Linked DNA regions of Coturnix japonica. The protein of the gene in region 1 purifies or fractionates together with the protein of each later gene. This does not show direct contact. Links are inferred from orthologs where the notes say so. Each region holds a gene or a part of one and is shown on either strand. Other genes may lie near its edges. The genes, in order: RETREG1, MAP1LC3A and GABARAPL1.

Region 1 (3,291 bases):
AACTCCTCCAACCTTATTATCCTCCTTGATCTAATTTATTCTCCTAGAAGACTGCCCAGTGTTAGGTACTTTCTTGACCACAAGTATTCTTCATAAAACAACAATAAAGTGCACGCTGTTGCAATGCCACCACTGATGGCCACTCTCACCCACCCACTCCAGCCAAGCTCACAAAGAACTGCTGCCTCCCCAGCCCTCCCTATCCTGCAGCCTGTCCTTTCCCTGGGCACCAGCACCCTTGTTCAGAGAGCACGCCTTGTCTAGGAGCTCTGCAAGGTCAGCATCTGGAAGCTGTAGGCTTCTCACTGTATCTACTGCCCTACACAAGGAGCAAGGACACAACGTTCTTGTCTAAGAAACATAAATGGCCTTTAAACTTCAAGATTTCCCAGCCAAAGCTTCCTTTGTTTCTATTTTTCCAAATGGGAAGGACAGGCTTGGGGGAAGCTGAAAAGGAAACTTAACAGTGTGAAAGCGACATGGCCATGTTTTTCAAATAACTTTCAGAAACTTGCTTTTAATGGTAAGATGCTATAATTTCAAAAGCAGCATCTTGGGTGATCTATATCCAGCATCCACTTACTCGAAATGGATTTGATAATGAAGGCACAGGCTCACTTTTTTTTTTTTACTGGTAAAAGACAGCAAACACAGTCAATATGCATTACTGACACAAAAGCACAAGCGACGATAAAGCCAGTGTCAAAACTTCTCAGCATCTGTCCTTTAGCTTCAATGCATCTGGCCTTCTGCCTACCTTTTCACCTCAGGAAAAGAACAAAGTAATTAGAATGGAGTTAACTTCAAACACAGGTTTACCTACACATACACGTTAGTGGGAATTGTTATACTCTGTTGCTGAACTTTCTGAGGGTCCTAGATGACAGTATTCACCTCTTAAAATGCCAGCAAATGGAAAATCACTTCAGTAGTAGTAGTAGCAGCTGACATGGTCCCTCCACTTTGCTAACAGTTTATGTCACAGTAGAAAAACTAGCTTTACTTCTTTCTATTTCTTTGATTACTATTGCGTGGTATTGATTTTGTTAAAGGTGAACAAAGAAGCCCTAGGAAAAGTTAAACGAGTAACCTGCTTAAGATCCCATGCCATTCACTGTGCACGTGTGGAGTTTAAAATGGTCAGTCACTGAAACAAGTTCATTTTTGTTTGATTGTTTGTTTTCAATTACACGCCAGGAAAAAGACTCTGAGTGTCTTCCATAGCAAATCACTGAGTACTTTAAGTATCTCACAAGATCCAGCTTGTACAACTTTCTTTGACGGTGATGGCAGTTGTTATGGGGAAAAACAAAACAAAACAAACAAACAAAACAGAAACAGACCCCCCAACATTTGGAATTATGCAAGTGGCAGCTAGAAAAGCCCTTCGTTTTACCTCTAGCTTTTATATCATCCCTAGTCCGAACAATAACTATCCCACCTGCTCCCCAAAAGGCTGTTCAGATTACACAGTAACTCATCTATAAAAATGTGCTGGCTGACTTTACACAGGCAATAGTGCCAAGGACCAGACTCTGAAGGAACACAGCAGGTGGTCAGTCACATAGCATGCCACTTCACAACTCTACAAGCCTAAAACAGCAAAGAACGTGGAAATGCATCACCATATCCAATACAACTCAAAGATTTTTAAGTGTTAAATCAAGTTCTCCAATAGTGCTGTGCACACATTTAAACTAGGCTTCCGCTGGTTAATGCATTCTTAAGTAGGAGATGCACTATACATAACGGTAACTGCAGAGAGTCATACTTCCTGGCATGATTGAAGGAGGTGAGATTTAGTTACTCTCGCTGCGATCCTCTGATAACTCATCCTTGCTGTGTTAACCATTAATTGTATTGCATGGTTGGCAACTATGAGTAAATCAATCACCAATGTTGAAAATTTGGCTCAGGACCACAAAGTGCATGTTTGGCATAAGATAAAACAAACCTCTCCCCCAATCCTTTTGAACAACTGACCTCCAGCCCACATCTGCGACCGAACGGTGGATAGATAATTCATTTCCATGCTATTACATTGAGGTATAACTACCAGAAACGTTAACTATCAGTATCAGCTGATATTTATCCAGTTAATTCACTCTGCATAAGGGAAATTATTACAACACATCTAAAGTGATAGTTAAAGCTTACAGCTCAGAATTTTCCTTTTTTTTTTTTTTTTTTTTTTTTTTGCATTTGATTTTGTGTGTTTTATGTTTCATTTCCTTTATGTCACCAGCTGCAATTCCCAGGTTAATGATTTCCAAGCAGATGTGAAAGAAAGCCCGAAGACTTCTTTTTTTCCTGGGATTCTGCTTCTTGGCCTTGTGAAAGTCCCAGTTCTTTCTCAATCTGCTCAAGCTCAGACTGGTCAAGCAGTTCAAAATCATCGGCTTCCTCGGTGTCTGTCTCCTCACTCAAGCTGGGCACCGCGTGTGATGGAGCTGGCTGCACAGACTGCAGCTGGTCTTTGATGGCAGCTGACACCGCGGCGGCGATGACATCCCCAGCAATACCGCTCATTAAATTAAAGGTTTGGTCACTGGTCAAAGGCAAGGAGAGCCCTGCAGTGGATGGTCTCTCTTTACTCGGTCTGGAAGAATGCTCCGCCTTTGAAGACATTTGTTCTTTTATTCTGTTTTGCTGGATGGGCATACCGATGCTTGAGTCATCATCGTCATTTGTTCCTGCCCCATTTTCTAAAGAAGGGAATTCTGAGAGCTCTCTAGCGAAAGCTTCTTCGTGATCACTAGGTCGGTCAAAATCTATCATAAGATTAACAAAGGGAAACTGTTAGCGAACAAGAAAGGCTTCCCCCCAAAAGCAGCCACAGGTAAAAATGAAACTCATCAATTTTCCTTTGAATACACTTATTATTTCATCATCTTCTGTACTCTTAACACAGAAGAGTGTTATCTTATATCTAAAACAGAATAAAAACCTAGTACTTTGCATCACCTGATATCAACCCGACTTCGAATTTGAGCTTGTACCGTGTGAGGAAATCATTCCAATCCCATTAAAAATGATTGAAATGTAAAACAAAGGAACAAAAAAAAATAAACCAAGCACTCAACTATATTGCATTTTCCATTTCAGTGAGCCCACAACATTAAATTTTTCTGCCTAAGGTCATTTTGCAATATTTATGTGGAGATTTGGAAAACTGCTTGAGAACAACTCCTTTCAATATTATTTGAAGAATATTCCTTTTTAAAGCGGTATCTAGCTGCATATGAAACAACCTATGCAAATCTTCATCACAGCCAGTTCTAAATACAACAA
Region 2 (4,301 bases), on another chromosome or scaffold:
AGCAGCAGTGCCAGGGCTGCACTGCCCTCTCAGTGAAAATCTTCCCCTTGACATCTAATCTGAATCTTCCCTCTAGTTTAAAGCTGTTTCCCCTCGTTCTATCACCATCTACATGTGTAAAAAGTTGATTTTCCTCCTGTTTATAATCTCCCTTTAAACATTGCAAGGCTGCAATGAGGTCTCCCCGCAGCTTTCCCTCCTTCAGGCAGAACACTCCCAGCTCCCTCAGCCAGACTCCATAGCAGAGATGCTCCAGCCCTCTGAGCACCTTTGTGTCCTCCTCTGGACCTCCTGCAGCAGCTCCACGTCCTTCCTGTGCCAGCAGCCCCAGGGCTGGATGCAAAACCAAGGTGGGGTCTCACAGGAGCTGATCACAGGGGGACAATCCCCTTCCTCACCCTGCTGCCACCTGGTGAAGGCCACTCTTCAGTTCTATGTGCTGCTCTTACCGACTGCTGCCTTTTCCACATGAGAAGTGCACTGCCAGAACTGAAGGCACAGAAAACTGCACCTGGGATGGGAGCATCCAGCCCAAAGATGCACCTTTCACAGGAAGCAGCGCAGGGTCAGCAGGTTGCACACATGGCTGCAGCCAGGACAGCCTGCTCCTCTGACACAGAGCACAGCTTCACTCTGGGAATTGGTCTGGACTCCTACCATGGATCTGACTAAGCAGAACGCAGCTCCCTCAGCATTCACAGGCAGGTTTGCACGTGGCAGCTGAGGGGCTCCATCAGATCTCACCCCCAGCCCAAAGATACAGCCACAGCCACAGCGGGGAGCACAACCCCAGCAGAGCCCCCTCTGATGTGCATCAGACACCAGGGGGACGCCGCATGCCCCAGCGTTGGACTTAAGTCCTCAACAGCATCACACTGAGCTCCATAAAATGTATTCAGAACAGACCTGAGACAAAGCAGATGGGCAAACAGAAGAAACCCCATAGAAAAACAAACCTCAACACTACAAGAAGGGGGAAAATGGGCACAAAGCACAGCAGAGCGTCAGCACGGGGCAGCGGGCCAAGGCCTCACCGAGCCACGTGCCGTGACACCGGAGCCTTGGGCGGCTCTTGTAAACAGCCACACTCTGACTCTGCCTGTTCTGTTCTTTTGGAGCCGTTCCACTTCTCTCCAGCTCTGCGGCCTTACAAACAGCGCCGTTCTGAGGGTGCAGTGTCACTGGAAATATTTTCCATCGTCCGTCTCCAGCGGCACTGTCAACAATCGCTTCCTGCTCCCGTTGTGCAACGAGCTGAAGACGAAAACAAGCGCTGTTTACTTTCTCCAGCGGAGCGATCCCAGCCCCGACCCAAAGCAGCCGAGCGGGCGCCGGGCCGCCTCCTCTTCCTCCTCGTCCCGCTGAGCTCTGCACATCAGCCGGGAGCCAAAGGGCACAGGACGGCGCAGACACCCGCGGTCACACAGCACCCGACTCCGTCTCCCCCCCTTTCCCTCCTGCGCTATTTCAGTCCCGCTCTCCTTCGGTCACTCCGAGCCTCGACTTTTGTTTTCCTCCAGCCTGAGCAACGTGCAAAGGCAAAGCCGGCTCCTCCCGCCCGCGATGCCGGCTGCCACGGCGGAGCAGCGGGCAGAGATACGGGCGGCACTCGGGATTCTGCTGCTTTTAATAGAAAACTCCAGCCAAGCGCCGTGTGGCCGCGGGGTTCGGCCGGCAAAGGTCAGGGGGAGCAGCAGCTGCCGCTCTGCCGGGCAAGGCACGACGCGGCGCCCCGTGCGGTAACACTGACCCGTACGGTAACATCGCCCCGTGCGGTAACACTGCCCCGTACGGTAACACTGCCCGTACGGTAACACTGCCCCGTACGGTAACACTGCCCCGTACGGTAACACTGCCCCGTACGGTAACACTGCCCCGTACGGTAACACTGACCCGTACGGTAACACTGACCCGTACGGTAACACTGCCCCGTACGGTAACACTGCCCGTACGGTAACACTGCCCCGTACGGTAACATTGCCCCGTACGGTAACACCGACCCGTACGGTCACATCGCCCCGTACGGTCACATCGCCCCGTACGGTCACATCGCCCACCGCCCACATTCAGCACAACGATGTTTCCACGCGAGCGCGGAACCCGCCGGGCCCGGCAGCACAGGGTGCGGAGCGCGGGGTCCTCGGCACAGCGACCCCCAGCCGGGCGGGGGCACCGGGCGGTGCGCGAAGGTTCGGCCGCCCACCCGCAGCCGAAGGGGCTCAGCCCGCCGCCACAGCGGGGCGAAGGGGTCGCGGCTCCGGGCGGTGCCACAATAAGAAACGGGGGGTGGGGGGGGACCGCCGCGCTACGCGGGTGCGTTCGGGCTGCGGGAGGAGGACAAGGAGCCCGAGGGCCGCCGGTACAACCCGGTACAGCCCCGTACAGCCCGGTACAGCCCGGTACAGCCCCGTACAGCCCGGTACAGCCCGGTACAGCCCCGTACAGCCCGGCACAGCCCGGTACAGCTCCGTACAGCCCCGCACAGCTCCGTACAGCTCCGTACAGCTCCGCACAGCCCCGTACAGCTCCGTACAGCCCCGTACAGCCCCGCACAGCCCCGTACAGCCCCGCACAGCCCGGTATAGCCCGGCCGGAGGGCACCGCCCGCCCCGCGGCACCGCGCGGCCCCATCCTCGCCCCCCGATCGCTGCGCACGCAGCTCCCGCGCACATCGCCCCGCCGTCCGCTCACCGAAGGTGCGGCGCTGCTTGAAGGGCCGTTCCGAGGGCATGGCGGTGGTGTTGGCGGCGGCGGCGGCGGCCGGGCCGGGTCGCAGGTGCCGGCGGCGGCTCCGTGTGGCGGCTGCGGCGGAGCGGGCGGTGACGTCACCGGGGCGGGCGGAGGGCCGTGACGTGTCACGTGACGTGTCCGTGGGGCGGTGCCGCCCGGTGCGATGAGCGCCGAGTCATCGATCCCGTTTTCAATCGCGGCCTTTCGGGCCCCGCTCACACCCCAAGAGCCGCTTTCCCCTCCCGCAGCACATCGCTGAGCGCTGCTCCGTGCGCACCTGAGCCGCTCCCCCAGCCCGGGCTGCCCAGGGCCGGGGCCGCACCGCCTGCGGGTGTAGGATTCCCTCCGCTCATCCGACCTGAATCTTCCCTGTTCTAGTTAAAGCCGCCCCCGTCCCCCGCTCTGCCCATGTACTCAGTCCCCGTCCCCTCCTCTTACTGCCCCGCACGCCCCGGAGCAGCCCGTCTCCCCCCGCTGCACACACAGCCCGCATACCTTGCAGAGCAAATCACGGCTACAAATAGAGCGGGCTATTTCTAGAGCCGTGAACGAATCAAACCCAGCTGCAAACGGTGACGGTGTTTTGCAGAGAGCCACACTGCATGTCCCCGTGAAGGCACGCTGCAATGAGCGCTGTGCTCCAAAACAACCCCCCATGGTGGGCAGACATTGAGTACATCCCTGCTTCAAAGGGACAGAAAGGCTCCCACTGCATCTTTTAAAAGTGCTCTGATGATCAAAAGGGTCCTGGCCATCCAAAAATGCAGAAGGGAAAGAAGTTGCGGTACTGACTGAGATAAGGCAGATGGACTGACATTGCAGACTGCAGGCTCACTGAATTTGTTACTGTTGTTAAGCACTAACCCACTTTTGACGAGGAACAGGTAGACAGACCAACCCAGCAGCAGCAAGCAGCCCTATAGCAACCCACGATCAACAGCCAGCTTTACAATGCCAGCATTCCAGCAGGGTGAGCACTGCTGGTAATGAGCACCCTGCATGTTTGTGACAGCTTGGAGCCTCCCCGAGGAATGCTGTTGTGCTGCTGAAGTAGTGTATTACTGTCAACACAGACCTGATGACGCTCAGACTCCTGCAGTGTTGGTGCTGTCAGAGCTCAGTGCCCTGCAGCCCCCGCACACCACAGCTCTGCATGCAGCCTGTGCAGGTCGGGGCACTCTGCTAACACACAGCCAGCTTGGCCTGCTGTAGGCCTTGCTTTCATTCCCTACAGACATAGCAATGCACAGCAAAAGCTTTAAGACAAGGTAAATAAAGCTCCTGTGTGTGAAAGGAGTGCTGCTCAGCCATCTCAGGCAGACAAATAGCTGCTGCCCATAGCAGCTGAAAGACGTGTCTGAAGATGAACAGATGTTTCCACAAGTCTATCTTTTGCGATCTCTTAAGTGCTGTCACCTCCATTCCTCTGCCACGGCCTTATCTCAGCTGGACAAAGAGATCTTGGGCTACAAGTGCTGCTGCTTGCAGCCCTGAGCCATACTTCAAACCCCCCTCATCAGCCTCTTAATGCATCAGGGTTTGTTTGCTCTGACTTCGCAGCAGGTGTTTCC
Region 3 (4,243 bases), on another chromosome or scaffold:
TAGGAACTATTCCCAAGTGACATGAATATGAAAAGGCTTGGAAACCTTTCCAAAGCTTGGTGACACGTTTCCATGGAAATACTGTGTGCATGTGGAAAGAAAATGCAGCCACTGGTAGGTTTGTTTTTTTTCCTGGTATGTATTTTTGATCAAGTAGAGAGATATATTACATGATTCAATCTATGTGGCTTACTGTTCTTCAGAAACCATTTTGACCTTCCCTGAGACACTGTGAGACTAATTTCTAAGAATCATAGAATTGCTCAGGTTGGAAAAGACCCTGAAGATCATCACATCCAACCGCAGCCTAACCATAGTACCCTAACTCTAACAACCCTCTGCTAAATCATATCCCTGAGTACCACATCCAAACGGCTCTTAAACACATCCAGGGATGGCGATTCAACCACCTCCCTGGGAAGCCAAAATCAGCAGCTGTGTCAGCTGTGCAATAGTAAAGGCTGGACTGTTGTGCTTCGTGTTTCCTTCCTTCTTTGGAAGGAAAATGGTGTTGTCACATCAATGAAACAGTACACCAAAGGAAAAAGACATGATAAGCTTTGTGTATTAACTTGGCATGGCACTTTTTCCAACCAAACACTCCTCGTTCCAGATTCAAGTATCCACAAAGCATGTCACACAGTAGAGATGCTGGCTTGGATACCTGTATACTCTTCTCCATTTAGATGCCTCCAATGCAGCCAAAAGCCCTGAAAATTCTAGGTTTCTTCCTAAAACACAAACGTAGTTTGCTAGTTCAAGAACCTCAACTACTAGGCAACTGAGCTCTTTCACACTAAGTTTGTGTTAGGACATACATTTCCATACAAGATAAAATTGACAAGTGTTGTGAAGGAAAGGTAGTTGCACAACCTCACTACACAGCTTCAGACTGACCAGCAACAGTACTTTGCCTATTTTCTTACCCTGAAACGCTACATGGTAGCATCAAATAAACTGAAGTAGAAAAAAAGCCTTTAGTTTTTGCTTTCAATTTAGAAGATTGGTAAGCAGAACTGTCAGGTAGCAACAGTGACAGGACCAAGCTGACTCAAAAGGATGGCATGTAGCTTAGTCATTAGATAAAGGAAAAGAAGATAGGGGGTACCTTGATTTATGAGGACAAGGTGAGCTCTGAGGATTCTAAACCCCTAGAAAGGATTCAAATTAAATAATCAAGTTTGAGACAGATCTCCCTCTTGCAAAGAGGGAAAAATGGAGGTGTTTTCCTAGATAATCAACTGTAGTAAGTTTCCCTGATAACCCAGGCAAGGTATCTCTTCTAAAGGTTACTTTGCACAGAGAGACAAACTTACAAAGACAATCCAAAGGGCAGATATATTATCTTGATGTCTGTTGCTGCTGGGTGACTGTGGTAACAATGGACTGGGCCAGCATTATAATTTCAGCAAAATGCAGACATATCACAACAGTGAAGTGCCAGCAGCCAATGGGACATTGCTGTCAAGGATCCTACTGTCGTGAAGGGCAGTGACAGAAGTGATTAAATACGTCTGTTGCACTCTGTGCAGCTCTGACAACAAGCCTTCCCCAGCAATCCACACCAGGCCTCTCCAAGCAGTGTTTTCACTTCCCCTTAGCTGCAGCACAGCTCACTTAGTTTGATCCTGTTTTTGTCCATTACACTCTACTAAAGCCCCTCTGTCTTGGCATTTTTACTCCTTGCCAGACCAGGTCTGTTGCTGGGCTCTCCACATAGTTCTTCCAGTCACTTCTATCATGACCTGCTGCATTACCTGCCACTCTCCTGACCAGCTGAGCCTGCTGTGGCCGTCATCTCAAAAGACAGACCTGCATACACTGCATGCTCAATTACTCTCATCCTACAGGGAAAAGCTCAGGTGAAACAGTTCTTTTGCACACTGCACCTCTGGTCACCCCAATCTAGGACAGAACTCTCCAGTGTTACAAAACAAACAAAATAAACCCTAGTGTTACTATTTCTTTTTGCAATTATTGCCACAAATTATAAAGCCAGGAGTTTTCCACTGAGATTCCAGACAGTCCTAAGGACAAGAAAGGAAAGTTCAGCTCGAAAATGATCTTGTTTTCCAAATGATGCTTTTTGGGTGATTAAAGAGTAGGGAAGTAAGACTGGGAATTATTATTGAGCATCCATCTCTTTTTAACTCTCATGCAAAACACAAAGCTGAAAAGAACGGAGCTGGACTACACTGAAAAGCAAGCTCCAAAAAGAAAAAGGTATAAAATAAAAACAAAACATCTGATAACAGCGATTTAGGCCTTTTTTTTTTTCCTTACAGAGAACGCCTGTTTCACACATTCATTGTTCTCCTCCATTTTCCCAGAGCAAGTCGTAAGCTCCTTCCCCACCCTCCAGCCCCACACGCATAGGCTGCCATAATAAGATTAACAGCGTTCTTGCTGTCGAATTACTGCGGATGCCCGAAAAAGACCCCCACACCCACCCACGGACCTTGGCGTAGAACAACAAATACGGTGGCACTAAAGAGAAAGCAATCCGGAATTAATACCGACACGCCAAAGTCATCTTTCCCAATCCCGTTCCTTGCAAAAGAAGCAAAGCAGCAGACGGCAACGACAAGGACAGCAAAGAATGGCGACATTTGCACAGCCAGCCCGAGGGCAGCGCTCGTCCAGCACACTCACAGGGACTCTGTCGGGGTATTTCTTCCTGATTTTCTCCCCTTCTTTTTTCCTGTACTCGAACGGGTGGTCTTCCTTGTACTGGAACTTCATGATGCGACACAACCGAGCCGGCCACTACCGTCCCTCCGTCACCTATGACCGGGCACTCAGCAAACCCTACTACGCCCGCGCAGCGCACGCAAACCCAGCGCAGCGCAGCGCAGCCCCGCACTGTGCTGTTGCGGGACGTCACAGCGACATACCCTCCCCTTCCGGCACTGTCGGCATTGCAGCGGGGTGGGGGCACTGTCTCGTGTGTGTGTGTGTGGGGGGGGGATGTGCTGGGTCTTTGTGTTTACATTCGGTTACTGTGCTTTTCGGGTTACCTAATGGTAACAATTCTAAAAGAAAGATCAAAAAATCCACAAAAACACAGCCACCAAAATAATGTGCGTGACTCAGGGGTTACCCACGCACCACCGTCAGAGGTGTCCCCGTCCAATGAGTCTCTTCTGTACGTGGTTGTGATTGATATAGTGTGCGTGTAGTATTACGGACTGGAAAACGTGTTGTAAAGCTGTTCTGTTTTGACAAGAGACCCTCAGCAAAAGAAACGCAATAATGAAAGCTGAGACCTCCACATGAGGCCAAATTGTCTCCTTCTCTAGGTGTCAAGGATTTCCCCTCTATCCTTCTACAACCCAGTATATATTATTAAAAAGAAGTTAACACCCCGGTATATATCACTAAAAGACAGGTTGCCAAACTTATCTCTATCCAAGGATGAGCAGATGTCCAGAAATAATGGCCAAGTGCTGAGTGAGCAAATGTTACAATTTTAGTACCTATAAATTACTTACAATATGCGTTATCGAGCATGCATCAGTGAAGAAAGTTCATCTAGAGGACAAGTGAGGAAGACCACTGGATGAAGTAAAAGACTGTCAATTGGACTGCCATGATGCTAAAAGGACACTAGACAGTAGAAGAGACCATGGAATAGAAGACTGGAAATCTCATCCATCTCTACCTGTGTTAAGTGTGTGTAAGTTAGTTGTCTCAAGTATAATTGATGAGTATGTACTATCTGTGGAAATATAATGGATGGGGAATCATGTAATCTTGGAAGCACTTATGGTGGAAGACGAAAGATGGATGCTCCATTGCAATGCTCTGTAAGGGCATCGTGACAAAATAGTAAGTAATAAAAATAATATCAGGAGAACAGGATCAGGAAGAAGCCCTGGTCCTTTTCTAGAAATACTCATACACATCTTTTAGACTGCTCCAAGAAATTCGTACTTCAGACATTAATGGTTTCTTTATCCCTATATGCTTATACACATAAGTCTTGCCTGAAGGGAAGGAGTTATCCCAACACTGGGAAGGACCTACTGCAAATCCCCACAGCAGATTTAGGGTGCTAGTTTGTGCTCTCTGCCCTGGAGAGAGCTGTTTATCATATATTGCCCACCACCCACCTTTACACTCTATAGCCCACTGCTTCTTGAATTCAGAGGTAATGCTCTCTCCAAGCCGTGGTGACTGTGATCTCTCATCATGCATGAAGGAGAGATATGGAGGAAGTATATTCACTTAGAAGCAGATATGG

Evidence for each region.
Region 2: the proteins of RETREG1 (region 1) and MAP1LC3A purify together in Homo sapiens (affinity purification with western blotting; 3 studies listed by BioGRID and IntAct, with this or other methods). This does not show direct contact. The link is inferred for Coturnix japonica from reciprocal best matches to the Homo sapiens genes RETREG1 and MAP1LC3A.
Region 3: the proteins of RETREG1 (region 1) and GABARAPL1 purify together in Homo sapiens (affinity purification with western blotting; 3 studies listed by BioGRID and IntAct, with this or other methods). This does not show direct contact. The link is inferred for Coturnix japonica from reciprocal best matches to the Homo sapiens genes RETREG1 and GABARAPL1.

Annotation. Positions count from the first base shown.
Region 1 is NC_029517.1:54,602,990-54,606,280, forward strand, and holds the end of RETREG1 (reticulophagy regulator 1), read right to left. Parts: intron 2,772-3,291; coding exon 2,260-2,771; 3' UTR 502-2,259; downstream 1-501. UniProt on the Homo sapiens protein: Endoplasmic reticulum (ER)-anchored autophagy regulator which mediates ER delivery into lysosomes through sequestration into autophagosomes.
Region 2 is NC_029535.1:1,283,231-1,287,531, forward strand, and holds the start of MAP1LC3A (microtubule-associated proteins 1A/1B light chain 3A), read right to left. Parts: upstream 2,820-4,301; 5' UTR 2,732-2,819; coding exon 2,692-2,731; intron 1-2,691. UniProt on the Homo sapiens protein: Ubiquitin-like modifier involved in formation of autophagosomal vacuoles (autophagosomes). While LC3s are involved in elongation of the phagophore membrane, the GABARAP/GATE-16 subfamily is essential for a later stage in autophagosome maturation.
Region 3 is NC_029516.1:70,390,212-70,394,454, forward strand, and holds the start of GABARAPL1 (gamma-aminobutyric acid receptor-associated protein-like 1), read right to left. Parts: upstream 2,882-4,243; 5' UTR 2,743-2,881; coding exon 2,653-2,742; intron 1-2,652. UniProt on the Homo sapiens protein: Ubiquitin-like modifier that increases cell-surface expression of kappa-type opioid receptor through facilitating anterograde intracellular trafficking of the receptor. Involved in formation of autophagosomal vacuoles.